Linked DNA regions of Anolis sagrei. The protein of the gene in region 1 interacts with the protein of each later gene in a biochemical or structural test. Links are inferred from orthologs where the notes say so. Each region holds a gene or a part of one and is shown on either strand. Other genes may lie near its edges.

Region 1 (7,530 bases):
AAGGGCCCTAAGATTATCTACTTTTAACTGGATTATGGGACAATGTAGACTCATATAATTCAGTTCAAAGCAGATAATCTAAATTATCTGATTTGATAATCTGGATTATATGGCAGTGCAGATCCAGCCTGTAAATTAGAAGTGACTTTGATCCCTTCTATACTGTCATATGGTCCAGACCATCAAAGCAGATAATCCACATTATCTGTTTGAACTGGATTATATGAGTCTATACTGCCATATAATCCAGTACACATCGGATAATCTGGATTTTATATGGCAATGTAGAAAGGGCCTTCAAAGCACACACAACAACAATGAATTAAACAATGCAGATATAAATTCTGTTTTTCCTAGCGTAACAGAAACAGAAATCACACACAATTTTCTCTCTCTCCTCTAATGGATGAATAGCTCAGTCCACTTGAGTTCAAAATACAATACTTCTAAAGCTGCTAAAGTTAGTTGTAATTTCTGGCAAGATGCCTTGTATTTGATGAGAAATGAGTGCCAGAGCTTGGGCAAGTTGTTGCTTCCAGACTGCAAATCACAACTAACTTTAGCTGCAGCAGAACCATTCTATTCTGAAAAGGGAAGAATTGATTTATTTCCTCTGGATGCACGACAAATGTGTAACACATATACATTTTTATTAAACCAGTTTTGCAGTCAAGTTTTGTATTTCCCCATTGCTCTTTTAAAGCCATAAATCCCTCCTTATTGGCCATATTTTTCCTGGTTTTAGGCTGCATCTACACTGCAGAATTAATGCAGATTGACATCACTTTAACTGCCATGGCTCAATACTATGGAAACATGGGAGTTTACTTACATCAGGTTTTTAGGCTGCTCTGCCAAAGAGTACTGGGGCCTCACCAAAGTACAACTTCCATGATTCTACAGCATTGGACCATGATAGTTAAAGGGGTCTCAAACTGCATTGTTTCTATGGTGTGTAGATGCACCCTTAGTCAACAGTAGCATGGAGGCTTGGCACCACCATGTAGCTATGGGGGCATCGGTATTTCTGGGGGTCTTCTGCTTCCATACTCTTAGCTGCTGTTCAGGAGCATCATGACACAATGTTTGTTTGTTTTTTAGTCCTGTTGGTCCTTTCTATCTTCTGTGACTTATAACTGCAACATGTTCTCTCCTTCTAAGTTCAAAGTAATAGCATTCTCACCTCACTCTTTCTGAGTAACAAGAAGGATTAGAGCAGTGGTTCCCAAGGCAACAGTGTAGTATGGTGAGGCTGTGGACGATATTTTCGTTCTTTTAGACCACTGGTTGGGAACCACAGGTTGGACCACAGGTTGGGAACCACTGGATTAGAGTCAGAGGACATTGTAGCTGCTCCGTAGAAACACAGTTACAGCCTTCAGGCACCATGGGCCCTACCACACTGCTACACCATTTTAGCATTATTATATCACCTTTACTGCCATGGCAACATTACATGGAATTCTGGGATGTGCAGTTTAGTGAAGAGCATTTACATTTCCAAGCCAGAATGCACTTGGATATCCATCAATCTTTGGGTATAGAAAAAATAACTTGATAAACTTTTTTTGCATGGTTGATAGTATAGCAAAGGTGGAAAACAAAACTGAACATTGAAAGCTCTCTCTGTGTTCTTATGAAAACATGTACAGGCAGTCCCCGAGTTACAAACATCCGACTTACAAATGGCTCATAGTTAAGAACAAAGGGTAGACAATAAAAAGTGAGCGGAATCTGCCCCTAGGAAGGGAAATCCACTCCTGAAAGAATTATCATGTGGAAAAGGGGTCTCCACTGAAGCTTTCTCACTAATTCTTGTTTCCACAACAGCTCAAATTTTTCAAAATCCAATTATCACAGAAAGTGAGGTGGAATCTTATGAACAAGGGCACAGACAGCAAAACAAACACCACATGAGTGGAGTTACACTTGAAAAAATTACCTGTTCTGACTGTCATACAAATTCAGCTTAAGAACAAACCTACAGGACCTATCTTGTTCATATCTTGGGAACTGCTTGTATTAATATCAGTACTCTTGGTTCCAGGACCCTCGTGGACACCAAAATCTGTGCCATCATATACAATAGAATAGTAAAATGCTGTGCCTGATATACGATAGCAAAATCAAATTTGCTGTTTGGGACCATTTTTACTTTGAATCCATAGATACAGAATTTGTGGGTATGAAGGGCCAGCTGTATATCTTTTTTTTAAAGGTAATTCCCCCCCCCCCCCCCAAAAAATTAGAGATAGAAAAGCCAACCAGGAGGAGGGGACTCTGTAATTAATTTACCAGAAAAATATAAACTCTTTAGACCTCTAATATTGAATTAACAATAAAAAAAACAATAGAAGACAGTAGGTGCCAAAAGCATATTTTTAGCATAGATACCTGAAAGATGATATGAATGGTGGCCAAAGCTATCTGGAGCAATGAGGAAGAAGAGCACAAGAAAAAAAGAGTAGATGAAGAATACGGAAATAAATAATTGCTGGTTACTCAATGGACTCATCATATCACTTCTCTTGAGTTTCTCCTTGAGGAGTGGAAAGCACTGTCAAACCTGATGGATCGGTCCAGGTCTGCCCTGGTTCAACTTTGCTGAGCTTCTCTTCAGACGCATCCATACTGTTGAATTAATGGACTTTGACACCATTTTAACAGCCACAGCTCAATGTTTAGCACCAGCACTCTTTGGCAGAGAAGACTAAAGACCTTGTAAAATTACAAATCCCATGATGCCATGGCAGTTAGTTTTGTCAAACTGCATGAAATCTACAGAGGAAAAGCAACCCCCCACACACTCCTGATGGTGGATGGGATCCACTGGGAGGACAAGGCATGGAAGGGAGTTGTTGCAGTGATGTTTTGGAGGGGGTCTCTGTGTGTGTGTGTGTGTGGTCCTGTACATGTCCATGCAAGCCTCAAAATAGCCCCGTAATGTTGTTTCTCTCCGACACCCTCTACATTCAGGGCCCTATCACACAAGCTTGCATTATCGCTCCACTTCAACAGCCATGGCACCATTCAGTGGGATTCTGAGATTTGGACTTTGTGATGAGTCTCAGTCAAGAGCTCTCTGGTTGACAACTCTCAATGCCATTTTCCAAACAGCAGTCCATGGGACCTTGCCGTGACAATTAAACTGGAATAACAATGCTGTAAGAGTGGCTGCATCCACACTGTACAATGATGTTTGTCACCACTTTGACTGCCCTGGCTCAATGCTATGAAATCCTGGGAGCTGTAGTTGGGTTGTGGAGCACCCAGTGAAGGTAAAAGTAACGGTTTTACCTGAGTCCCCCTTCGGGGGTAGAGAAGGGCGGGATACAAATATTTGAAATAAATAAATAAGGTTTCCCTTCATGTCCTACTCTGGGGGTGGTGCTCAATTCTGTTTCTAAACTGAAGAGCTGACGTTGTCTGTAGATGCCTCCCAGGTCATGTGGTACCTATTGATCTACTCAACCATTTGCATGTTTTTGAACTGCTAGGTTGGCAGAAGCTGGGGCTAACAGCGGGAGCTCAACCCACTCCTCAGATTTGAACTGCCGACCTTTTGGACAGCAAGTTCAGCAACTCTGTGGTTTAACCCGCTGCGCCACCAGGGGAAACCTTTACCTTTACCTTTATGGTTGGGTGAGGCACCAGCACTCTTTGGCAGAGAAAGCTAAAGACCTTGTGAAACGACAACTCCCATAATTCCATATCATTGAGCCATGGTGTCAAAGAGCATTAATTCTACAGTGCAGATGCACCTAGCAAAAGCATGGGCAAACTTGGGCCCTCCAGGTGTTTTTTTGGACTTCAACTCCTACCATTCCTAACAGCCTCAGGCCTTTCCTTTTCCCCCTTAGCCGCCTAAGGAGTGACCTAAGGCTGTTAGGAATGGTGGGAGTTGAAGTCTAAAACACCTGGAGGGCCCAAGCCGGCCCATGCCTGACCTAGCATCAGGTGGAAGTCTACACCTGTTTCCACACATGTGCTCCCCACGCTGGATCTGTGTGTGTAGACTCTCACACCAGGCAGTTTCAGTGCTATTGTCCCCCTTTTCCCCCCAGAGTGCATCTTCACTTGTAGAATGAATGCAGTTGGACGCTGCTTGAACTGTCCTGGCTCAAGGAAGATGCCTTCTCTGCCCAAGAGTGCTGGTGTCTCACCAAACTACAACTTCTAGGCTGCCATAGCGTGGAGCCCTGGCACTTCAAGTGGGGTCAAGCGGCATGACTGACTTCAGCAATGTGTGGACTGGGTGGGAAGTGAACGCGAAAACCTTCCAACTTTCCAACTCCTAGGATCCCATAGCCTGGCATGTTGCCTTCCTTCTCGGGTGTGCTGCGCCTCTCTCAGCCCATGCCCATGCCCATGTCCTCCTCGGTGGCTTCCTCTCCAGCGAAGCGCCAGCCTCGGTCCGCCGCCTCCTCCTCCCCTCCTTCCTTCCCGGGGGGGGGCCGTGTCCGTCTCCCGGGCGTGGGCTGGGCTGGGGGGCGGGGCTGGGGGCGGGCCCTCCTTCCTGCCCATAGGGCGGCCCGGGTGGGGAAGCCCAGATGCCACCAGGCGAGGAGACTTTCCCCAGCCGCGCTGACAGCACCAGGTCAGTCCCAGAGAGAGCGGAGAGGGAGAGGGAAGGAAGGAGGGCGCTCGGGTCCGGCACTCTTGGCCAGAGGAGGGAGGCTCCAGACCACACGTCAAACTGCATGAACTCTCTGTGGAGTGAGAAGGGGGCAAGCCCGTGGCGAGGCAAGGGGTGAAGAGGGCGCATCGGGAGCCAGGAAGGGGGCTTCTCGCTGGGGAAGGGTCCCTCTTGGCCAAGGAAACCCTCTGTGCTGGCACTCTTTGGGCTCGCCATCAGTCCCAAGGGGGCTTGGGCATCAGATTGGGGTTTGGTTTCACTTTATCCGAGGAAGAGAGACCCAGGACTCATTGAATGGAGCCGGTGGAGAGAAAGGGGAATCTTCACGATCATCCTCTCTTTGGGTTGCTGTAAGTTTTTCGGGCTGTACGGCCACGTTCCAGCAGCATTCTCTCCTGACGTTTCGCCTGCATCTATGGCAGGCATCCTCAGAGGTTGTGAGTTAAGACCTCTGAGGATGCCTGCCCTAGATGCAGGCGAAACGTCAGGAGAGAATGCTACCGGAATATGGCCATACAGATCAAAAAACTTACAGCAACCCAGTGATTCCGGCCATGAAAGTCTTTGACAGTACATCCTCTCTTTCTCAATCTTTCTTTCCTTCTCTCTCCCTCTCTCACATGCCCACCCAAGCCCCCCTCTCCAATTCATAAATATAGTTGTGTCAGGGCTTGAAAGTGAAGTTCAAGGACTTAGTTATACACAAATAGTGTAATGGGGGCTTCTCCTTTGGAGGCTTTTAAACAGGGGCTGAACAGGGACAGTAAACGTAAAGGTAAAGGTTTTCCACTGACATTAAGTCCAGTCGTGTGCAACTCTGGAGTTTGGTGCTCATCTCAATTTCTAAGCCAAAGAGCCGGCATTATCCATAGACACCTCCAAGATCATGTGGCCAGCATGACTGCATGGAATGCCATTACCTTCCCACCAGAGTGGTACCTATTGATCTACTCACATTTGCATGTTTTCAAACTGCTAGGTTGGCAGAAGCTGGGGCTGACAGCAGAAGCTCACGCTGCTCCACAGAATCGAACCTGTGACCTTTTGGTCAACAAGCTCAGCAGCTCAGTGCTTTAACCCACTGTGCCACTGGGGGCTCCTGGTGTCCAGGGATACTTTGTGCTTTTCCTGCATGGCATAGGGTTGGACTAGATGGCCCATGTGGTCTCTTCCAACTCTATGATTCCAAGGGCCCTTCCACACAGCCCTCAATCCCACAATACCAAGGCAGGAAATCCCACATTATCTGAGTGCGGACTCAGATAACCCAGTCCAAAGCAGATATTGTGGGATTTTCTGCCTTGATATTTGGGGATATAGGTCTGTGTGGAAGGGCCCTCAGTTGGAAAGGCGTTTTGTGGCTCTTCAGTCTTGTCCAGGAGAAGCTTCAGAAAGGGGAGAGGGAAGGGTTCAGTGCCCACTCCAGCCACAGGTGTGTGGCCTACCTTTGCATCCAAATCCAGGGATGAATCTTGTTCCCAGTAGATGCAGGGATCTTCATAAGGGTGCACTGTCTGTTCATCAGGGAAAGATGGGCTTCTCCTGTAGGGGCCCATCCACACAGCCATATAACCCAGAACATCAAGGCAGAAAATCCCACAATATCTGCTTTGAACTGGCTTATCTGAGTCCACACTGCCATATATTCCAGTTCAAAGCCCCTGGTGGCACAATGGGTTGAACCCTTGTGCCGGCAGGACTGAAGACCAACAAGTCAAAGGTTCGACTCCAGGGAGAGTGCGGATGAGCTCCCTCTGTCAGCTCCAGCTCCCCATGCAGGGACATGAAAGAAGCCTCCCGCAAGGATGGTAAAACATCAAAACATCCAAGCGTCCCCTGGGCAACATCCTTGCAGACGGCCAATTCTCTCACTCCAGAAGCGACTTGCAGTTTCTCAAGTTGCTCCTGATACAGAAAAAAAGCAGGTAATGTGGGATTTTATTCAGGGACCTAGGTTGGGCTGTGCCACCTGGAGCAGATGTGTTAAGTTTCCTTTCACAAAACATGTGTCATAGTTATCTATATTAAAGTGGGACAGATTGACTTCTGGGATAGGTCCACTGTGTTCTCTGCCACAACCTCAAGACACCTATATCTGTGGTGATGCTGCAGGGGAGGAGGCAAGGTGATGGAAAGGAAGCCTTTTGAAAAGACTGGTGGTTTAAAAAAAATGTGTTTCCTAACCACAATCGAGAATGTTAATGTATACACTAATGTTCCAAGCATAATCCTGCCATAACAGATATTATACATTGTGAAATATATGATGCCTCGGTGTCATATCCCGAGTCTGCAGGAGTGTTTTGTAAGTTTCCCACTGTCATTTCTCCCAAGGGCATTCTGCACTGGAGACTGCGCGTTCCTGTTAGTGTTGTAACTTTGAGGCAATACGTATGAGTTATGATCCAACTTGGTAGCAAGGTCATAATTTTATACAGTTGTGCCACGTGGAAGTTTCCTTTTGGTACCATTTTGAGGAGTTTCTTTCTAGGGTCCCTTCCACACAGCTGAAAAAAATCCCACATCTGCTTTGAACTGGAATATATGGCAGTGTGAATTCAGACAACCCAGTTCAAAACAGATATTGTGGGATTTTCTGCCTTGATATTCAGGGTTATATGGCTGTGTGGAAGGGCCCTGATGGCAGCTGATGTCCTGAAGGCAGCTGATGTCCTGAAGGTACTAGATCCTTTCTAATCTCAGATGATAAGCAGGGTCAGCTCTGGTTGGTACTGGGGTGGGAGACCACCAATGAATAACAGTTACTGCAAGCTGTGTTTTGGAAGACTGACAGATTGGAGGTTTGAATCCGGGGAGAGCCTGGATGAGCTCCCTCTGTCAGCTCCAGCTCTCCATGCAGGGACATGAGAGAAGCCTCCCATAAGGATGGTCCT
Region 2 (7,231 bases), on another chromosome or scaffold:
GGCTCCAATTTAATGCCATGTAAAATATACATATATAATAAAATAAATGCATATATTAAAACAATAATTAAGAACATATCAAACCTTAAAAACACTTGATAAAATCACGTAATCAATCCTATGGAATTCTGGGAGTTGTAGTTTTACAAACCATCTCTTCCAAAGAATGCTGCTGTCTCAGCAAACTACAAATCCCAGGACCCCATTGAATCGAGCCATGGTAGCTAAAGCAGTGTCAAACTGCATTCATTCTACCATATGATACACTGGATAAGAAACCTCCAAGGACTCCAGCTCAACTCCACTCTTGCAAACTCAGAACCAGGGGAGACTTTTAATTGAATCAATCCACCTGTAACAAAGTCTTCCTACTGTTCTCCACTTGACCGAGCAGTATTGCCTTAGGTAAATCAATTAGCATCGAGCATTGATTCCGTGGCACTGAGCCATGGCAGATAAAGCAGGGTCAAGCTGCAGGAATAGCAGGACTTGCCCAGGAGCTGCCTAAGGAGCAAAAGAAAATGGTCAGATGGGGGGGGGGGGAGGAAAGGGAGGGAGAGGGGAAGAAGTAGAAAGGGAGAAAGAGCAAGGGAGGGGAGAGACAGAGAAAAGGAGTAGAGGGAAAATGTGTTGTTCAAGGCTTTCATGGCTGGAATCACTGGGTTGTTGTGAGTTTTCTGAGCGGTATGGCCATGTTCCAGAAGCATTCTCTCCTGATATTTCGCTCACATCTATGGCAAGCATCCTCAGAGGTTGTGAGATTTGTTGGGAACAAGACATGTGGGGTTCATACACCTGTGGAATAATGTCCAGGATGGGAGAACTTGTGTCTTTTTGAAGCAGGTGTGAATGCTGCAATTAATCACCTTGATTAGCACTGAAAAGCCTTGCAGCATCAAGGATTGGCTGCTTTTGGCCTGGGGAATCATTTGTTGGGAGGTGATTAGCTGGCCCTGGTTGTTTCTTGTCTGGAATTCTCCTGTTTTTGAGTGTTCCTCTTTATTTACTGTTGTGATTTTAAAGGATTTTTTAAAATGCTGGTAACCAGATCTTGTTCATCTTCATGCTTTCCTTCTTTCTGTTAAAATTGTCCACATGCTTTGCAATGCTAATCAAGGTGATCACTTGCAGCATGCACAGTTGCCTCCAACAGACAAGAGTTCTTTCTCCCGCCCTGGACATTATTCCACAGATATATAAACCCCACTTGCCTCGTTTCCAACAAACAATGCAACCTCTGAGGATGCCTGCCGTAGATGCGGGTGAAATGTCAGGAGAGAATGCTTCTGGAACATGGCCATACAGCCCAGAAAACTCACAGCAACCCAATAGAGAAATAGAAGGAAATATGAGAAGGGGAGAGGGATAAGAGAGAAGAGAGGAAGACGGGGAGAGGGAGAAAGAGCAATGGAGGGGAGAGAGGGAGAAAAGGAGTAGAGGGAAAGAGGAGAAGGAGAGGGAGAAGAGCGGAAAACTGGAGAGGGAAAAGGAGCAAGGGAGGGAAGAGAGGGAGAAAAGGGGAGAGGGAGATGAGGGGAAGGCGAAGAGAGGGAAAAAGAGTGATGGAGGGAAGGAGAAAAGGAGTAGAGGGAAAGATGAGAAGAAGTGGAGAGGAAGGAGAGGGGGAAATGAGGAGAGGGAGAAAGAGGGAGGGGAGAAAGGACGAAAAGGAATAGATGGAAAGATGAGAAGAAGGGGGGAAGAGGGAAAAGAGTTAGAGAGTGGAGGAAGGCAAAAAAAAGGCTAGAAGTAAAGATGAGAAGAAGGGAAGAGGGAGAAAAGGGGAAGGTGGGGAGAGGGAGAAAGAGCGAGGGAGAGGAGAGAGGGGGAACAGGAGTAGAGGGAAAGATGAGAAGAAGAGGAGAAGGAGAAGAGAGGAAGGTGGGAAGTGGGAGAAAGAGCAATGGAGGGGAGAGAGGAGTAGAGGTAAGGAAGAGAAGAAGGGGAGAGGGAGAGAGAGGGAGTGAGTGAGGGGACGGGAGAAGGGGAGAGAGGAAGGAGAAAGGGAGGGGGGGAAAGAGAGGGGGAAGAAGTAGGCGGAGAGGTTGGGGGAGAGAACCCTGGACCCTTCCCCAAAAGCGTGCCCCCAGGGCTGCCCCACTGACCCGGGTTGAAGAGCACGGTGCCCTTGAGGTAGGCGTACTCCTTGGTGCTGATGTCCAGGCTCCAGCACTTGGCCAGGAAGCCTTGGATGGCTTGGATCTCCCCCGCCGAGGGCAGCTGGGGGCAGCGGGGCTCTGGGTCCTGGGGCGGGAGCCGCTCTTCCTCCTCCTCGTCGTCGCCGTCGCCCTGGTGGCGGTGGTGGCGGGGCTGGGCTTGGCCGGGCTTCTCCTGGGGCTGTCCGGGGTGTTGGTGGGGGCGCGGCTGGGTGGTGAGGATGCGCTGGAGCATGCTGGGCCGGGCGCTCTCCACGGTCTCGAAGTGGACGCGGTCCTGGGCCAGGCCGAGGGCGAGGAGCGGCGCCCAGCAGCTGCGCACCAGGACCAGTTGCTCGTCGAGCGGCAGCTCCTGGAAGCAGGGCACGCTCTTGACGAAGCGCAGCGTCTTCACCAGCACCGCCGAGGCCGCCTTGCAGGCCGCCTGGGGGCTCCGCAGGGCCACGCGCCGCCCGGCCCCGCACGAGCAGCCCGCCGCCCCGGCCCCTGGCCTCGCGGGGAGCGGCAGCGGAGGGGCCGGCAGCGGAGGGGGGCCCGCCAGCGCCTCCCCGCCTTGGCCCGCCGCCTCCCCCTCGCCCTCCCCCTCTTCCTTCTGGTGCTGGCGGTGCTCCTGGCTCTTGAGGATGTTGTAGAGGATGCTGCCCTGGCGCCGGTGGTCCGTGCAGCAGCGGCAGCGGTCCAGGCACGCCATGGCCGGCAAAGAGCGGGAAAGCCGCCTCGCCCGCACGCCCGCACGCCCGCCCTCGGGGCTATTTATAGCGCGCAGGAGTTCAAAGGCGCAGACGCTGCCGACTGGCTGGAAGGAAGGGACGGGGAGGAGGAGAGAAAGAGAGAGAAAGAGAGGGAGGGAGGGAAGGAGGGAAGAAGGAGAAGAAGAAAGCCCCCCCCACCAGGACTCCACCCTCTCCCCCCCCTCCCCTCCTTCTCGGGAGAGGAGGGCGTGTTGTCGCCGTCCCTTTCCAAATGCCCTCCCGCTTCTTCCGCCCGACCGTCCCACGTCGCGCGCTTTCCGCGAAGGGCTGAACGGGAGGGAGACCCACGCCAAGTTCAAGCGGCCGGAAAGAAGGAAGGAAGCGCCCCCTCCGGCTCCCCGCCACACCAAGGCGCTTCCGCCCAACGCTGCCTTCCGTGTCGGCGCGGAGTTGGCGCTTCTTCCAAGGCTTCCTTTGCAGCCTTTCCCTCGGTTGGATGGGGTGGGCAGGCGGGAAACGAACCCCTTTCTCATCTATATAAACAACAATGTAATGTTCGTTTGTGGGATTAACAAAACTCAAACACCACTGGACGAATTGACAAAAAAAATGATTTTCTCATTTGAGAGTTGTAGTTGTTGGTTTGGTGGGCATTGACCTTGAGTTTGGGTGTTATAGTTTACCTACATCCAGAGAGCACTGTGGACTCAAACAATGATGGATCTGGACCAAACTTGGCACGAATACTCCATATGCCCAAATATGAACACAGATGGAGTTTGGAGAAAATAGACCTTGACATTTGAGAGTCGTAGCTGCTGGGATTTATAGTTCACCTACAATCAAAGAGCATTCTGAACTGCACCAGCGACAGAATTGAACCAGTCTCTCCACACAGAATCCCCATGACCAACAGAAAATACTGTGTTTTCTGATGGTTTTGGTAACCTCTCTGGCACCCCTTTATGACCTCTGCAAGGATCCCACCCCCCAGGTTGAGAAATGCTGCCTTAAGGCCATCCAGCCCAACTCCCTTCACCAGGGCAAGAAAACATAAAGCCCTCTTGACAAAGAGCCATCCAGCCATAGATATAGATAGATAGATAGATACAATTCACACACACACACACATATTTGTATATGACAGATATAGTATCATAGATTTGACAGGGACCCCTAAAGAAGGACAATTATATGTTGCATGTTCCAGAGTAGGCAAACCAGACAATCTCTACATCAACACTGACAAAGAAACAAGAATAAATACTGTTTACCCACAAGCATAAAGAAATTACACATATTAGAAACCAACACTTTCTCGTTACTTTATTTTCCAGATCACCAAACTGGGCCACAGCAATGCCTGGCAGGGGATGGCTAGTGTGTGTGTGTGTGCATGTGGACAATTTCAACAGAAAGAAGGAAACCATGAAAATGGACAGAATCTGGCAACCAGTACAGTAGAGTCTTGCTTATTCAACATAAGCAGGCCAGCAGAATATTGGATAAGCGAAAATGTTGAATAATAAGGAGGGATTAAGGGAAAGCCTATTAAACATCAAATTACGTTATGGTTTTACAAATTAAGCACCAAAACATCATGTTTTACAACAAATTGGCAGAAAAAGCAGTTCAGTACACGGTAATGTTATGTAAACATCACTGTATTTATGAATTTAGCACCAAAACATCGTAATGTATTGAAACAGCTGTGGATCCAGGCGGAAGGCAAACTGCGTTGAATAATACGGAACCTTGGATGAGTGAAGGTTGGATAAGCGAAACTCTACTGTATTAAGAAACTCTAAAATCAGAACAGTAAATAAAGAACACTAAAAAAAACCAGGGGATTCCAGACAAGAATCAATCAGGACCAGCTAACATCACCAAACAAAGAATTCCTCCAGGCAGCAATCAGCCAGGCAAAGCTACTAAATGCTAATCAAGGTGGCCAATTGCAACATTCACACTTGCCTCAAGCAGACAAGAGTTCTTTCTTCTGCCCTGGACATTCCACAGGTGTATAAACCCCACTTGTCTAGACCCCTCAACTTCTGAGATTGGCTACTATAGATGTGAGCAAAACATCAGGAGAGAATGCTTCTGGAACATGGCTATACAGACTGGAAAACTCATAGCAACCCAGCCAGCAGGCTGTTAGGAATTGTGGGAGTTCTAGTCCAAAACACCTGGAGGACTGGACTTTGTCCATGCCTGTATTACATTACACCCAAGCAGTGTCCCTTCTCCGGAATAATAATAATAATAATAATAATAATAATAAGAAGAAGAAGAAGAAGAAGAAGAAGAAGAAGAAGAAGAACAGCAGTAGCAGTAGCAATAACAATAATTTATTTATAACCCACCCTATCTTCCCAATGGGGACTCAAGGCAGTTTCCAGAAGAAAACCAGCAAACATTCCATGCCGAAAGTGATCAACAAAACAAATCAAAACAACCAATAAATAGCATCAGTATAAACTTAATATATAAACTTAAAGGACAACTTGTTGTCCAATGCTTTCATGGCTGGAATCACTGGGTTGTTGTGAGTTTTCCAGTCTGTATGGCCGTTTTCCAGGAGCATTCTCTCCTGATGTTTCACCCACATCTATGGCAGGCATCCTCAGAGGTTGCGAGGTCTGTTGGAAACTAGGCAAGTGAGGTTTCTGTATCTATTTCTCCCACCCTGGATATTCCACAGATATATAAACCCCACTTGCCTTGTTTACAAGAGACCTCACACCTCTGAGGATGCCTGCCATAGATGTGGGCGAAACATCGGGAGAGAATGCTTCTGGAACATGGCCTTACAGCCGGGAAAATTCACAGCAACCCTTAAATGACAACCAAAGGCTAGATAGAGACACACAAACCTCATTATGCACATTTACATCAAAAGGATCTAAATCATTAAAGTGCAATTGAAAGTATAAAATGATAAGTGACGTTATATAAAATAATGTGATGATGATATCAACAGTCTAACAGCGCTAAAGTGCATTGCCAGAGTCTGAAGAAGAATTGCAAAATAGTCCCAAATTTTCCATAAGGAGACCTAAACAAGTTACATTTTTGCTTTCTCGTGGTGCAATGTATACTAATATTACTACTACTAATATTAACTTTATTTATATCTCCCCAAATGGACATGCAGCAGTTTGCAACAGATATTGGCAAACATTCAGTGCTGTAAGAAGCTGAAAAAAGACAAAAAATAACCAACTTCCCAAATCCCAAAAGCAAATCCACATCTACATCAAAAATAATAACACATTATCAAAAATTAGACAGTAAACATAATAAATGTACAATTGTACTAAAATATGATATACAGTTACCATCAGACAACATGTCTAGGGGTGGGTGAAAGGATAAACAAATGGGTATGCTTAGCCTTGTTTCCCATCTTTGAAGTAACTTATTAAGCATAAGCAAGTATTCCAAAATTAGGGGGGGGGGATCCTAAATGCACAACACTTGTGTTCCCAAACATTTCAGATAAAGAATGTTTAGTGTGTACCCACTATTTCATTGATTTGAATCTGCATGTGTAGAGAAAAGATATATTTTAAGCAGAAATCCAAGTAATCAGAGTATGAAGAGCAAGAGGTGGTGCAGGATATTCCCTAACCAGGAACATAACATATTCAGTATTTCTTTCTCTTGTTATTTATTATTTGCGAGCTTTTGCTTTTTTCTGTGTTGTAAAATGGGCAACAAATGAAAGCACCCAATACACATACACCACTGATGCAGGAGACAGTTTTTGATATGTTTTTCTTTCAGACAGCAGTGAAATTGAACCATCACAATTGTACAATATTTAGTACCAGTTTATCCTTATGAAAAGGAATAACAATGTTATTTTCATTTAACCAGGTCTTTGATCAAAATGGTAACTCTGTTTCACATCTACTTTCTTGATTTACACTTTAATTGAGTGTCTCCAGAAGTCATGGAAAGACATGTTTCAATAAGAATCCATTCTTGCTTTCCAGTTGCTCTCACTTCCAATCATGGTGGCTAAATAAACCTAATGTCTGAATGTGACAAAAGTTGACACTCAGTCATGTGATCCATGAGCGAGACAGAAAAACAAACCCTAGAAGAAAACCAACATTTCTCTGGTTTGTAGGAAGAGACCAAGCTAAGTAGTGCTTGAGTGCTTCCATTGGGAGGAGCTGTCCAAGGTACTGAACACTATCCCCAAAACAGGGTCAACATTTTGAACAGTTCCTTTAAAATTTTGGCCATAATCTGGAGCAAATTATTCTTGTTTCTTGTTTCTTTTCCTACAAGGCGTGTTTCTTTTCCTACAAGCCTAAGAAGGAATCCATGTTTTGTTGTGAATGGATTTAGTGCCAACACATGAATCAGACA
Region 3 (7,052 bases), on another chromosome or scaffold:
CAGGGCTGAGGCAACAGGAAGTGAGAGAAATCTACTTACCAGAAGGGAAATTTACTCCTGGAAGAGTTATTATCGGGAGGAAAGGGGTCTCCACTGAAGCTTTATCCTCGATCCTTGTTTCCACAACAAGCCAAATTTCCCAAACTCCCATTCTCACAGGGACAGAAAGTGAGGTGAAATCTTCCGAACAGGGGCACAGAAGGTAACACAAACACCACAGGGGTGTTCACCCTCCTCTATGTGATCCTAAGCTAAATATACATATAGATATGCATATACGTGTGCATATATATATAAATTTGGCTGAAGTTACATTTAGAAAATGTACTTGTTTCGACTTACAAACAAATAGACAGTAACACAAACACCACGGGGGGGTTCATCCTCCTCTATGCGATCCTATACACAGACACACACACACACATATAGATTTATTTATTTATTGCTGGAGTTACACTTAGAAAATGTACTCGTTCCAACTTACAAACAAATTCAACTTAAGGACAAACCTACAGAACGTATCCTGTTTGTAACTTGAGGACTACCTGCAGACAGTATTACTTTGGCAGGACCCACTGTGCTTTCATGTTATTATTGCACACTGGGTGGGAAGATATAAATAGATAATGGTAACAACAACCATAACAATAATGTAACAACAACAATGCCATTTCAGGAGCCTTCCTCTAGGTTAGGAGGTCAGGCCAATGTCTGCCCAAGGCGTGCACTCAGGACCCGCCTTGCAAGTTGGGCTACCAAGGTATATAGGGTCAGGTGAGTCACTGGGACCTGTTTTCCTACCTCCAGAAGTGAAGTTGCGACTGAGAACCTCCCCAGCGGCGTTTTTTTTGCCCCGTCATCAGGTCGTCCAGCCGGTCGGACTTCCTGGCCGCTCAGATCAACCCCAGGGCAAATGGCATCAGTTTGGAAGGGACACCCATCCCACTACTGCAGGCACAGTCAAACTTCAGCCCTCCAGCTGTTAGTAATTGTGGGAGTTGAAGTCTAATACACCTGGAGGGCTGAAGTTGGCCCATGCCTGCTCTAGTGGCTCAAAGCATTCTCTAGTTATACAATGAATATATCACTGAGATTCAACCAATTCAACATACGTTGTGGCAGCCACGGAAACAAAGTTTCTGGAGTAGAACAACTCTTTACAAAGTAAGGACCACACAATTAAACAGGAAATCACACATTCAAACCAGAACAGATCCATACCTGCTCCTGCCCCCTCCCCAAATGTTTTGTTATATAGTATAACAACAGCCAATGTAGCATCTGGACAAACGAACTAGGCCAACAAAGGAGAAATACTTGCCTAACGACCAGCAAATTTGGGACTTACTAATTCACTAGTTATGATAATTAGTATTTGTTTATTGCGGGAAATTGTAGAATGTTATTTGAAGCAGATGTGAGATTATACAACCACATTTAAAGGGAATTGATTAAAAGTCAGCAGGCAGTGAGTAAGAGGTCAGGCGAGAGTCTGTTGTTTTGGTGCTTTGTTTTAATGTTTATGTTTGTTACTCATAATAGGCCCATCGCAATAGGATTGATTAGAATTATAAAGACCCAAAACTCATCATTGGTGTAAACATGCTTTTGTCTTGTCTTTATGAAAATGAGATGGGAGGGGTGGGTTAGGAATTAGTACAGTGGTTCTCAATCTGTGGGTCTTTAGATGTTTTGGTCTTCAACTCCCAGAAATCCTATCAGCTGGTAAACTGGCTGAGATTTTTGGGAGTTGTAGGCCAAAACACTTGGGGACCCACTGAATTAGTATAATATGATTCAAAGCAGAAGTGGGGTTATACAATAGCATCTAAAGGGGACTAGACTAAAAAGAGAGATAAAAATAAACAGTGATGGAGAGGTTTGCCTATGGGACTTGAATTCGAACCATCGACTTTTCGGTCAGCAGTCCTGCCGGCACAAGGGTTTAACCCACTGCGCAACCAGGGGATCCTATATATATATATATATATATATATATATATGAATATAATAAGAATATAAATAAATATATTAAATATATTAAATATATATTTAATAATATTTTAGCTTTGAATATAATAAGAATATAAATTAAATAGAAATAAAGCAAGGTGTGTTTAATTTACCTTAGAATAAAATATATATATACATATATATACATATATATATATATAATTATATATATATAAACGAATATAAATATAATAGAAATATATTAAAGAAAGATGTGTAATTTACCTTTGAATAAATATTCCTATGTAATATAACAATAACAAAAATTCCTATGTAATAGAATAATTAATATTCCTATGCAATATAATAATTTGTTACATATAAATAAAGGTGTGTAATTTTATATATATATATTTATATATAATAAAATATATTCCTATGTAATATAATATTCCTTAATAATATTATACTAATATCCCTATGTAATATAATAATAAACGTTCCTATGTAATATAATAACAATAAATATTCCAGTGTAATATAATATTCCTTAATAATAATAATAATAATAATAATAAATATTCTTATGTAATATAATGGTAATAAATAATATTCCCTGATCATCATCATCATCATCCACTCCAGCCCTGGGTGCGAGGCCTGCTTGCCTTGAAGTAGCCTCCCTGGTAGTGGGTGTTGGGGGGTCCGAAGATGGCCACCTCCCAGTTGTAGAGGTCGCCTTCGTCCACCAGGCTGACGCGGAAGCCCTCCACGGGCTCCTCCTGAAGGCCCTTCAGCTCCAGGAGCAGCGCTTTCGCCGAGCTGGGCACCGCCGGACGTGCCATGCTCCAAAGCAGGCCGCGAACGAAGCCGGGGACTCGCGTGACGGGGGCGGCCCGGCTGCGGAGACGAGAGCGCGGCAGTAGGTGCTGGGGAAGGAACAGCACCGCCGGAGGAGGCTGAGGGGAAGAACAAGGCTGAGAGAGAGCGAGCGAGCAACCAGCCAGCCAGCCAACCAGCCGCCGCCGCGAGCGGGGTTGCCTGGGATGCGTAGTCCCGAGGGCGGGGGAAAGGGGAGGAGCCAGCCGAGGCCTCCGCCAATAGGAGGCGGGACCGTAGGAGGGGGCGGGGACTCTAGAAGGAGCCGAAGACTACACCTCCCAGAAAGAAAGCCTGCGGCAGGAAGCCGGAAGTGGAGGAGGAAAAACAAAGAGGCAGAAGGAAACAAACCCACAGAAGAAGTTTCCTAGGCGTGTGTGCCCGCTTCGTAAAATAGACCAAAATTGTGCCTTTCCAGAATTAGGAATCTCCAATACCAAGTCCCAGAAGCACTTTAATAGAACTAAGATTGCTGCACACTGCACTTACCCTATAATCCTACATACCTCCTGTCACATCAGCACTTTTAATCTTTTCCGAGCCCAATTCAAGGTGCAGGTGCTCACCTACAAAGCCCTAAACGGTTTGGGACCACCCTACCTGCGTGACCACATCTCCATCTACGAACCCACACGCTCGCTCCGATCATCTGGGGAGGCCCTGCTCGTGATCCCACCCACGTCGCAAGCGCGCTTGGTGGGGACACGGGACAGGGCCTTCTCTGTGGCGGCCCCCCGACTTTGGAACGCCCTTCCAAAAGATCTCCGACAGGCCCCTACTCTAGCTGTTTTCAGAAGGAATTTAAAAACTTGGCTGTTCCGTTGTGCCTTCTCAGACTAGGAATCCCCACCCCAAGTCCTAGTAGCACCTTAGCATAACTAATCGTCACTGCACACCGCACTTTTAATCCTACGTACCTCCTGCCATTTCAGCACTTTTAACCCTTGTACCCCATTGCGCCGGCCGAACCAGTTTTAATAATGTCTTGATGTACTGCCATTGTCGTTATTTTTGCTTATTGTTTTGATTTGCTTTGTTATTTTTGTGTTATGTTTTCTATTGTATTGTGTTTTGAGGCTTCGGCCTGTGTAAGCCGCATCGAGTCCTTCGGGAGATGCTAGCGGGGTACAAATAAAGTTAATAATAATAATAATAATAATACCCATTACTCTGGCCCGGCCCAGTTTTATAGTGTCTTGATGTATTGTTTATTGCTTGTTGTTAATATTGCTTTAACTGTTTTTAATTTGCTTTAGGTGTTGTATTGTTGTGTTGTGTTTTGAGGCCTTGGCCTATGTAAGCCGCATCGAGTCCTTCGGGAGATGCTAGCAGGGTACAAATAAAGTTAATAATAGGTTCTTGTGGGGTTTTTTGGGATATATGGCCATGTTCTAGAGGCATTTCTCCTGACGTTTCGCCTGCATCTATGGCAAGCATCCTCAGAGGTAGTGAGGTCTGTTGGAAATAGGACAATGGGTTTATATATCTGTGGAACGGCTGGGGTGGGGCAAGGAGCTCTTCCCTGCTAGAGCTAGGTGTGAATGTTTCAGCTGATCACCTTCATTAGCATTTGAAGGCCTGCCTGAGCCTGGGAAAACCTTTTGTTGAGAGGTGTTAAGATGTGCCTGGTTGTTTCCACCCAGAGGAAAAGTGTTCCTGCCATACATCAAGGGAACCACTGACCGCATAGGGAAGCTGATGAGGAAACACAACATACAAACAATCTACAAACCCACCAAGAAAATCCAACAAATGCTACGTTCAGCAAAGGACAAGAGGGATCCTCTCACCTCTGCAGGAGTCTACCGTATACCATGCAGCTGTGGACAAGTCTACATAGGGACCACCAAACGCAGCAGTATTGCCCAAACACGAATCAAGGAACATGAAAGGCACTGCAGACTACTTCAACCAGAGAAGTCAGCCATAGCAGAGCACCTGATGAACCAGCCTGGACACAGCATATTATTTGAGAACACAGAAATGCTGGACCACACCAACAATGTCTCTGTGTCAGACTACACAGAGAAGCCATTGAAATACACAAGAATGTGGACAATTTCAACAGAAAGGAAGAGACCAGGAAAATGAACAAAATCTGGCTACCAGTATTAAAAAACTCTAAAATTACAACAGCAAAACAGCAGAGAGGAAACAACCAGGCACATCTTAACACCTCTCAACAAAAGGTTTTCCCAGGCTCAGGCAGGCCTTCAAATGCTAATGAAGGTGATCAGCTGAAACATTCACACCTAGCTCTAGCAGGGAAGAGCTCCTTGCCCCACCCCAGCCGTTCCACGATATATAAACCCATTGTCCTATTTCCAACAGACCTCACTACCTCTGAGGATGCTTGCCATAGATGCAGGCGAAACGTCAGGAGAGAATGCCTCTAGAACATGGCCATATAGCCCACAAAAACCCACAAGAACCTAGTGATTCCAGCCATGAAAGCCTTCGACAATACAAAGTTAATAATAATAATAATAATAATAATAATAATAATATTACGAGCCATCCCGTGCCACACGTTGCTGTGGCCCAGTCTGGTGATCTGGAAAATAAAGTAATGAGAATGTGTCGGTTTCTAATTTATTATTTATTTATTTATTATTTGAACTTATATGCCGCCACTCCCCTGGGACTCGGAGCGGCTCACAAGAATGGCTAAAATCTAACAAAATTTAAAAGCAATTTAAAAATAGCAATATCAAACATTAAAAGCCTGTCGAAACAGGTATGTCTTATATGCCCTGCGGAAAGCTGGTAAGTCCCGCAAGGCACGGACTTCAGGTGGCAAAGTATTCCAGAGTGATGGTGCCACTGCTGTGAAGGCTCTGCGTCTGGTTGCTATTAGACGAAAGGTCTTGACACTGGGGACTTCCAATAGATCTTGGTCCTCAGAACGGAGGGATCTCTGGGGTTGGTAGGGGGTGAGGCGGTCCCTCAGATACATCGGCCCCAAACCATGCAAGGCCTTAAAGGTGAGTACCATCACTTTGAAAGTGATCCGGTGCTCAATTGGTAACCAATGCAGCTGTAGTAAGATTGGTGTTATGTGGCATCTCATCGGAATTCCCGCAAGAAGCCGAGCAGCTGCATTTTGTACCAACTTGAGCTTCCGGATCACCGACAGAGGAAGGCCAATGTAGAGGGCGTTACAGTAGTCCAGTCTTGAGATGACCGTGGCCTGGATCACCGTAGCTAGGTCGTCCCTGGACAGGTAGGGGGCCAGCCGTCTAGCCTGCCGCAGATGAAAGAAGGCGGTTCTGCTAACGGCGGATACCTGGGCCTCCATCGTCAGCAGAGGGTCCAAAAGGACTCCTAGAGTCTTTACCAATGATGACGGGCGTAGCGCCCTGCCATCCAGGGTAGGCAACTGGATGTCCCCATTGCCCAGTCAACCCAGCCATAGGATCTCCGTCTTTGCTGGATTCACCCCTAATATATATGTAATGTCTTTATGCTTGTGAGTAAACTACTTCTTGTTGTTTTTTTGTCAGTGTTGATGTGGAGATTGCCTGGTTTGCCTACTCTGGAACATGTAACATATCATTGTCCTTCTTTAAGGGTCCCTTTCAAATCTATGGTATTATGTCTGTCATATACATATATGTGTGTGAATCATGTATATCTATATCTATGGCTGTATAGCTCTCTGTCAGGAGGGCTTTGATTATGTTTTCTTGTCCTGGTGAGGGGAGGTGGACTGGATGGCATTAAGGCAGCATTTCACAACCTGGGAGTTAGCACCCCGGGGGGAGGGGGTTGTGAGGAGGTGTCAGAAGTGTTGCCAAAGACCACCAGAAAATACAGTATTTTCTGTTGGTTGTGGGGGTTCTGTATGGGAGGTTTGGCCCAATTCTATCGTTGGTGGGGTTCGGAATGTTCTTTTATTGTAGGTGAACTATAAATCCCAGCAACTAGAACTCTCAAATGTCAAGGTCTATTTCCCCCAAACTCCAAATATTCATATTTGGGCATATGGAATATTCGTGCCAAGTTTGGTCCAAATCTATCATTGTTTGAGTCCACAGTGCTCTCTGGATGTGGGTGAACTACAACTCCCAAATTCAAGGTCAGTGTCCACCAAACCCTTCTAGTGTTTTCTGTTGGTCATGGGAGTCCTGTATGCCACATTTGGTTCAATTCCATCATTGGTGGAGTTCAGAATGCTCTTTGATTGTAGGTGAACTATAAATCCCAGCAACTACAACTCC
Region 4 (7,172 bases), on another chromosome or scaffold:
CCTGCTACATGCACAATGAAGGACCTTCTTATAGCAACACCAGAGGCACTCCAAGTGGCCAGCTAATGGTCAAAGGACATCTAATCAACTACCAAGCTTGCAAACTTTGTGTTTTGTTTGTTTGCTTGTTTGTTTAAAAATGCAATACAATTGTTTGATTTGCTCCTGACATGATAAATAAAACCCCTACAGTTTACCCCAATCAACTCCAAATACGCAGTTCTCAGCTGAGTTGCTTGATACAGTTAATGGGCCGTTTTGTATGTTATTTTAGCATTCCGGCTGGCCAATAATAATGTATTTTTAATAGAAGAATCCTGGTGTTTGGTTTCTCTCTTTCTTGTACAACTTACAACTAAACAGTACAGGTGTGATATCTTCTAGCTCTGATGTGCCACAGATACAATGTTTTGACCATTGTGTCCAGCTGTTCAAATCTAATTCTGGGAAAATCTCTCCTGGGGTGTTTAGCCATTTCTGTCTTTAGATATTGGACTGTTTGAAAAGGATGTTTAAAACAACTTAGCCATTTCAATGAGCCAACAAAATAAATAAATACGTTTCAACCTTTATTAATTTACTAACAGTAATTATAACATTCCTACCCCCTTCCTGTATCCCTATCACCACGAGGGATACAGCCCGTACCTTGGGAAATCTGATCTGGCCACGGTGGTCCACGCTCTGGTTACATCCCAAATAGATTACTGCAATGCGCTCTACGTGGGATTGGCTTTGAAGACGGTTCGGAAACTTCAGCTAGTTCAACGGGTGGCAGCCAGATTACTAACTGGGGCGGCATATAGGAAGCATACCACCCCCTTGCTATGCCAGCTCCACTGGCTGCCGGTCCATCTCCAAGCCCAATTCAAAGTGCTGGTTTTGACCTATAAAGCTCTATATGGTTCTGGCCCAGCTTACTTGTCCGAACGCATCCACCCCTACGTCCCACCTCGTAATCTAAGATCATCCGGGGAGGCCCTGCTCTCGCTCCCGTCAACAGCACAGATGCAACTGGTGGGGACGAGAGACATAGCCTTCTTGGCTCTGCCCCCCCCCCCCCCCAATGGAACACACTCCCAAATGAGGTAAGATCCGCTCCCTCACTCCTGGCTTTTAGACAAAAATTAAAATCATGGTTTTGGGACCAGGCCTTCGGGCAGTAGAAGTAAATGTATGCAGCATTTTGGAAAGGCAATGACTGGAACGGTGATTTGATGGACGAGACTGTTTTATTGTTTTAATGATTGTTTTATTGCTCATGGATGTATTTTTTTAATTTGATTTATATCTAATTGTAGTGTATAATTGTAATTGTTTGTACTGGCATTGAATTTTTGCCATTACTTATGTGTAAACTGCTTTGAGTCCCCCTCAGGGTGAGAAAAGCAGTATACAAATACTGTAAATAAATAAATAAATGATCTATATAAATAAAAATGTAATGTTCGTTTGTGGGATTAACAGAACTTAAAAATCACTGGACGAATTGACACCAAATTTGGACACAAGACACCTAACAACCCAATGCGACCTGCCTACCTGCGTGACCGCATCTCCGTATATGAACCCACCCGCTCCCTCCGTTCATCCGGAGAGGCCCTGCTCACGATTCCACCTCCGTCGCAGGCTCGTTTGGTGGGGATGAGAGAGAGGGCCTTCTCTGTGGTTGCCCCCCCCCCGACTTTGGAACACCCTCCCCAAAGACATTAGACTAGCACCCACGTTGGCAGTCTTTAGGAAGAACTTGAAGACCTGGCTATTCCGATGTGCCTTTCCGGAATAGGATAACCCCCAGCACTATGTCCCAGAAGCACTTTATTAGAGTTTAAGAGTCTCTGCACACTGCACTTGCCCAGAATCCCAACATACCACCTCTCACACCCAGCACTTTTTTAACCTGTACCCTTCATTGGCCCGGCCCTGGTTTTATTGCGTAATAGTGTAATGTTTTGTTTTCGTTATTGCATATCTTTTTAATTTGCTTTGCATTGTATTGTTATTGTCTGTTGTTGTGTTGAGGCCTTGGCCTTTGTAAGACGCATCAAGTCCTTCGAGAGATGCTAGCGGGGTACACATAAAGTTTAATAATAATAATAATAATGTATGTCCTTCACTCAAAAAAATTGCTTTTTTCATTTGGGAGTTGTAGTTGGGATTTATAGTTCCTCTACAATCAAAGAGCATTCTGGACCCCACCAACGATAGAATTGAACCAATCTTGGCACACAGAACACCCATGACCAACAGAAAATACTGGAAGGGTTTGGTGGGCAGTGTCCTTTGGTTTTGGAGTTGTAGTTCACCTACATCCAGAGAGCACTGTGGACTCAAACTATGATGGATCTGTACCAAACTCTACATGAATACTCAATATGCCCAAATGTGAACACTGGTGGAGTTTGGGGAAAATAGAATCCTAACATTTGGGAGTTGTAGTTGCTGGGATGTATAGTTCACCTACAATCAAAGAGCATTCGGAACCCCATCAACGATAGAATTGGGCCAAACCTCCCACACAGAACCCCCATGTGGGCCACAGCAACGCGTGGCAGGGGACAGCTAGTAAATAATAAATATCATACCCTTTGAGGGGGAAAAATATCCCCCCACACCACCCCACAAAAAAGATGGAAGTGGCAGCACTAAAAACCCCAAAGCCAGGACTAACAATGGGATTTTTGCCATTCAGTGTCATGATAAATGCACCACACCACCTGGACTACATCCAACGTCTTCACATTTGGGCTTTAAAATGGGGGAAATGCCTGCCCCGAGGAGCCATTTTGGCCCTTGTGGGAAATGTCAGCGCCGGTCCAGCGGGGCAATGGGCCACAATGGGCCTCCACACAACCAACCCACATCCCCAGGCCTGCAGCCTGACTCACCGAGGGCGAATGACGGGCTCCGTCCGGCTAGAAAGCGCGACAGGCCTCGGAAGGACGGCGAAGGCGCCTCACCTCAGCAGGCTCCGGCCGGAAAAGGGAGGCGTTCCCACTCTCTGTGACACTCTCGCGAGATTTCGGGCCCAGAGGCTTTCAGGGACGGCTCTCGCTCGCCCCCTGGAAGCAGCCGTGTGACGAAAAGAGAGAGGAAACCTCGGAGCATGCGCACTCGCGCTTTCGGAAATCTGGGTCTGGCCACGTGTCTCCTCCTGTCCTCCCCCTCCTCCCGTTCTTTCACGTCAGCAGGGAGCCCGCGTGGCGCATGGCTTGAGCGTTGGGCTACAACTCTGGAGGACGCGAGTTCGAATCCCGGCTCCGACATAAAAAAATCCATCAACAACTTGGAGTCACTCTGGACCGTGCCCTGACCTACAAGAAGCACTTTCTGGACATCAAGCAAAAAGTGGGTGCTAGAAACAATATCATACGAAAGCTGACTGGCACAACCTGGGGATCACAACCAGACACAGTGAAGACATCTGCCCTTGCGCTATGCTACTCTGCTGCTGAGTATGCATGCCCAGTGTGGAACACGTCTCACCACTGACATGCCGCATTATCATGGGGTGTCTGCGCCCTACACCACTGGAGAAATTACAGTGTCTAGCCCAGTGTTTCTCAACCTGGGGGTCGGGACCCCTGAGGGGGTCACGAGGGGGTGTCAGAGGGGTCGCCAAAGACCATAAGAAAACACAGTATTTTCTTATGGTCATGGGGAATCCATGTGGGAAGTTTGAGCCAATTCTATCATTGGTGGAGTTCAGAATGTTCTTTGACTGTAATGAACTATAAATCCCAGCAACTACAACTCCCAAATGTCAAGATCTATTTTCCCCGGACTCCACCAGTGTTCACATTTGGGCATATTGAGTATTCATGCCAAGTTTGGTCCAGATCCACCATTGCATGAGTCCACAGTGCTCTCTGGATACAGGTGAACTACAACTCCCAAACTGAAGGTCAATGCCCATCAAACCCTTCCAATTTTTTCCATTGGTCATGGGAGCCAAGTTTGGTTCAAATCCATCACTGGTGGAGTTCGGAATGTTCTTTGATTATAAGTGAACTAAAAATCCTAGCAACTACAACTCCCAAATTACAAAATCAATCCTCGCCCAACCCCACTAGCATTCACATTTGGGTGTATTGGGTATTTGTGCCCAGTTTGGTCCAGTGAATGAAAATGCATCCTGCATATCAGATATTTACATTATGATTTATAACAGTAGTAAAATGACAGGTATCAAGTAGCAATGAAAAAATATTATGGTTGGGGGTCACCACAACATGGGGGACTGTATTAAGGGGTCACGCCATTAGGAAGGTTGAGAACCACTGGTCTAGCCGGTATTGCACCGGTTTCAGGCGTGGGGGGCTGAGTCTGAGTGAAAGAGGGTCTACCCTAGCAAACCATTTGTATCATTACCCCAATACCCCCATGCATATGGGATATATTGAGTATGGTGATCAGATCATGATATGAATAAACATAACAGTTTAAATGATGCCTTTGCGAACCACCATGAGAATTTCGGGGGGGGGGGGGCTGAAGCCCCCAAGCCCCCCCCCCCCCCCCCCCGGCTACATGCCTAGACCAAGGCAGACACATCTCCAGCTCATCCCTTGTTTGGGTATCAGCCAGCACCCCAACGACTTAAATCAAGAAATAGTTTTCTAAGATCTACAGAGACACTCGCAAGAACACCTCAGCAAGCGAGAGTCCAAAAGTGGCAGACTCAAACCCAGAACCTCAATCAATGGCTGATACCCAATGAGAGACTCCCTCCTGGGCACACAGAAGACTGGGCGACTTGGAAGGCGCTGAACAGACTGCGCCCTGGCACCATGAGATGCAGAGCCAACCTCAAGAAATGGGGCCACAAAGTGGAATCCACAACATGCGAGTGTGGAGAAGAGCAAACTACAGACCACCTGCTGCAATGCAACCTGAGCCCTGCCACATGCACAATGGAGGACCTTCTTGCGGCAACACCAGAAGTACTCCAAGTGGCCAGATACTGGTCAAAGGACATCTAATCAACTACCAAGCTTGCAAACTCTGTGTCTTTTGTATGTTTGTTTGTTCTGTCAAAAATGTAATAGAACTGTTCAGTTGCCTGACACTATAAATAAATAAGCAACTTGGGGCCTTGAGCATTAATTATTATTATTGTTGTTGTTGTTGTTGTTGTTGTTGTTTATTCGTCAGTCCAGTGAAGACATCTGCCCTTGCGCTGTGCTACTCTGCTGCTGAGTACGCATGCCCAGTGTGGAACACATCTCACCACGCTAAAACAGTGGGATGTGGCTCTTAATGAGACATGCCGCATTATCACGGGGTGTTTGCGCCCTACACCACTGGAGAAACTACACTGCTTAGCCGGTATTGCACCACCATACATCCGCCGGGAAGTAGCAGCCAATAGTGAAAGGACCAAGGCAGAGACATCTCCAGCTCATCCCCTGTTTGGGTATCAGCCAGCACGCTAACGACTTAAATCAAGAAATAGTTTTCTAAGATCTACAGAGACGCTCGCTGGAACACCTCAGCAAGCAAGAGTCCAAAAGTGGCAGGCTCAAACCCAGAACCTCAGCCAATGGCTGATACCCAATGAGAGACTCCCCCCCCCCCTGGGCACACAGAGGACTGGGCAACTTGGAAGGAGGAACTATAAATCCCAGTAACTACAACTCCCAAGTGCCAAGGTGTATTTTCCCCAAACTCCACCAGTGTTCACATTTGGGCATATTGAATATTCATGCCAAGTTTGATCCAGGTCCATCATTGTTTGAGTCCACAGTGCTCTCTGGATGTAGGTGAACTACAACTCCCAAACTCAAAGTCAATGCCCACCAAACCCTTCCAGTGTTTTCTGTTGGTCCGGGAGTCCTGTGTGCCAAGTTTGGTTCAATTCCATCATTGGTGGAGTTCAGAATGCTCTTTGATTGTAGGTGAATTATAAATCCCAAGAACTACAACTCCCAAATGACAAAATCATAATTTTCTGAGTGGTGGTCACTCCTTTTGTTGTGAGATATTTTGTTGCCAACTTTGGTGTTATTTTGTTCATTAGTTCTTTTGTTTTTAAGGTACTCATCATCATTATTATTATTATTAACTTTATACCCCGCAAAATCTCCCGAAGGACTCGATGCGGCTTACAATGGCCAAGGCCGCCGACAACACAGCATACAATACACAATAAACTCATAAGCAAATAATAAACCATCAAGCAAGACAATAAGACAATAAACAATAACATCATGACACAATTAAAACCAAAGGCCGGGCGAAATGTAATGGACAAAATTAAAAGTGCTGAGCTTGACAGGTAAAATGTGAAGGGTGTTGGAGGTAGGTGCAATGTGCAGATAATCCTGAGTCTCTAACAAGGTGCATTTGGGACTTAAGGCCAGGAGTTTCCTATTCTGGAAAGGCACACTGGAACAGCCAGGTCTTCAGGCTCTTCCTAAAGACAGCCAGCGTTGGGGCTTGTCTGATATCCTTGGGGAGAGAGTTCCAGAGTCGGGGGGCTACCACAGAGAAGGCCCTGTCTCTCGTCCCCACCAGGCGCGCTTGCGATGCAGGTGGGCCTCTCCAGATAATCGGAAGAAACTTTTGGATTCGTAAACGGAGATGCGGTCACGTAAGTAGGCAGGTCCCAAACCATTTAGGGCTTTGTAGGTAAGCACCTGCACCTTGAATTGGGACCGGAAAATGAACGGCAGCCAGTGGAGCTCCTTGTACAGGAGGGTTGACCTCTCTCTGTACGGAGCACCTCATTATGCACAGAACATTTTTATATATGTAGACTAGCATATATACCCAGTGTTACCCAGGCATAATTGGGATCACTGCCAGCCTAATTTCTCCCTTCTTCAGCTGTGAGAAGGCCTACTTCACAATGTCTCCACAGCAATAATGTCTCCTCCCTTTCCCTTATACACATGTCACCTTTCTTTCCCAGTGACATCACATAAGACCACTACACCTAGCAACAGCCAATCTAGTGACATTACAGAGGGCCACTTGACCTTGCAACAACCTTTGTGGTACGAAAAGGCAAACAAACATACTTTGAAATTTATATATATATTATTTATTGACATTTCTAGGATTTCCTGGCCTCCTGTCTTTACAAAAAAAAGTCCTGCACCCTGACGGCTTCAATCCAGGAAATGTAGGCGGAAGTCCTGGTGAAGACAGTGGGCTTGTTCTGCACTTGG

The links.
Region 2: the proteins of PPARG (region 1) and NR0B1 form a complex in vitro, tested with the Homo sapiens proteins (2 studies listed by BioGRID, with this or other methods). The link is inferred for Anolis sagrei from reciprocal best matches to the Homo sapiens genes PPARG and NR0B1.
Region 3: the proteins of PPARG (region 1) and CDC34 form a complex in vitro, tested with the Homo sapiens proteins (2 studies listed by BioGRID). The link is inferred for Anolis sagrei from reciprocal best matches to the Homo sapiens genes PPARG and CDC34.
Region 4: the proteins of PPARG (region 1) and NCOA4 form a complex in vitro, tested with the Homo sapiens proteins (2 studies listed by BioGRID, with this or other methods). The link is inferred for Anolis sagrei from reciprocal best matches to the Homo sapiens genes PPARG and NCOA4.

The regions. Positions count from the first base shown.
Region 1 is NC_090022.1:64,554,149-64,561,678, reverse strand, and holds the start of PPARG (peroxisome proliferator-activated receptor gamma), read left to right. Parts: upstream 1-4,511; 5' UTR 4,512-4,597; intron 4,598-7,530. UniProt on the Homo sapiens protein: Nuclear receptor that binds peroxisome proliferators such as hypolipidemic drugs and fatty acids.
Region 2 is NC_090023.1:83,341,871-83,349,101, reverse strand, and holds the start of NR0B1 (nuclear receptor subfamily 0 group B member 1), read right to left. Parts: upstream 3,019-7,231; 5' UTR 2,848-3,018; coding exon 2,106-2,847; intron 1-2,105. UniProt on the Homo sapiens protein: Nuclear receptor that lacks a DNA-binding domain and acts as a corepressor that inhibits the transcriptional activity of other nuclear receptors through heterodimeric interactions.
Region 3 is NC_090034.1:52,346,865-52,353,916, reverse strand, and holds the start of CDC34 (ubiquitin-conjugating enzyme E2 R1), read right to left. Parts: upstream 3,012-7,052; 5' UTR 2,799-3,011; coding exon 2,622-2,798; intron 1-2,621. UniProt on the Homo sapiens protein: E2 ubiquitin-conjugating enzyme that accepts ubiquitin from an E1 ubiquitin-activating protein, and catalyzes its covalent attachment to other proteins by an E3 ubiquitin-protein ligase complex. In vitro catalyzes 'Lys-48'-linked polyubiquitination.
Region 4 is NC_090023.1:159,364,649-159,371,820, forward strand, and holds the start of NCOA4 (nuclear receptor coactivator 4), read right to left. Parts: upstream 3,020-7,172; 5' UTR 2,889-3,019; intron 1-2,888. Other genes in the region: chymotrypsin-like elastase family member 1, read right to left, coding at 7,082-7,172. UniProt on the Homo sapiens protein: Cargo receptor for the autophagic turnover of the iron-binding ferritin complex, playing a central role in iron homeostasis. Acts as an adapter for delivery of ferritin to lysosomes and autophagic degradation of ferritin, a process named ferritinophagy.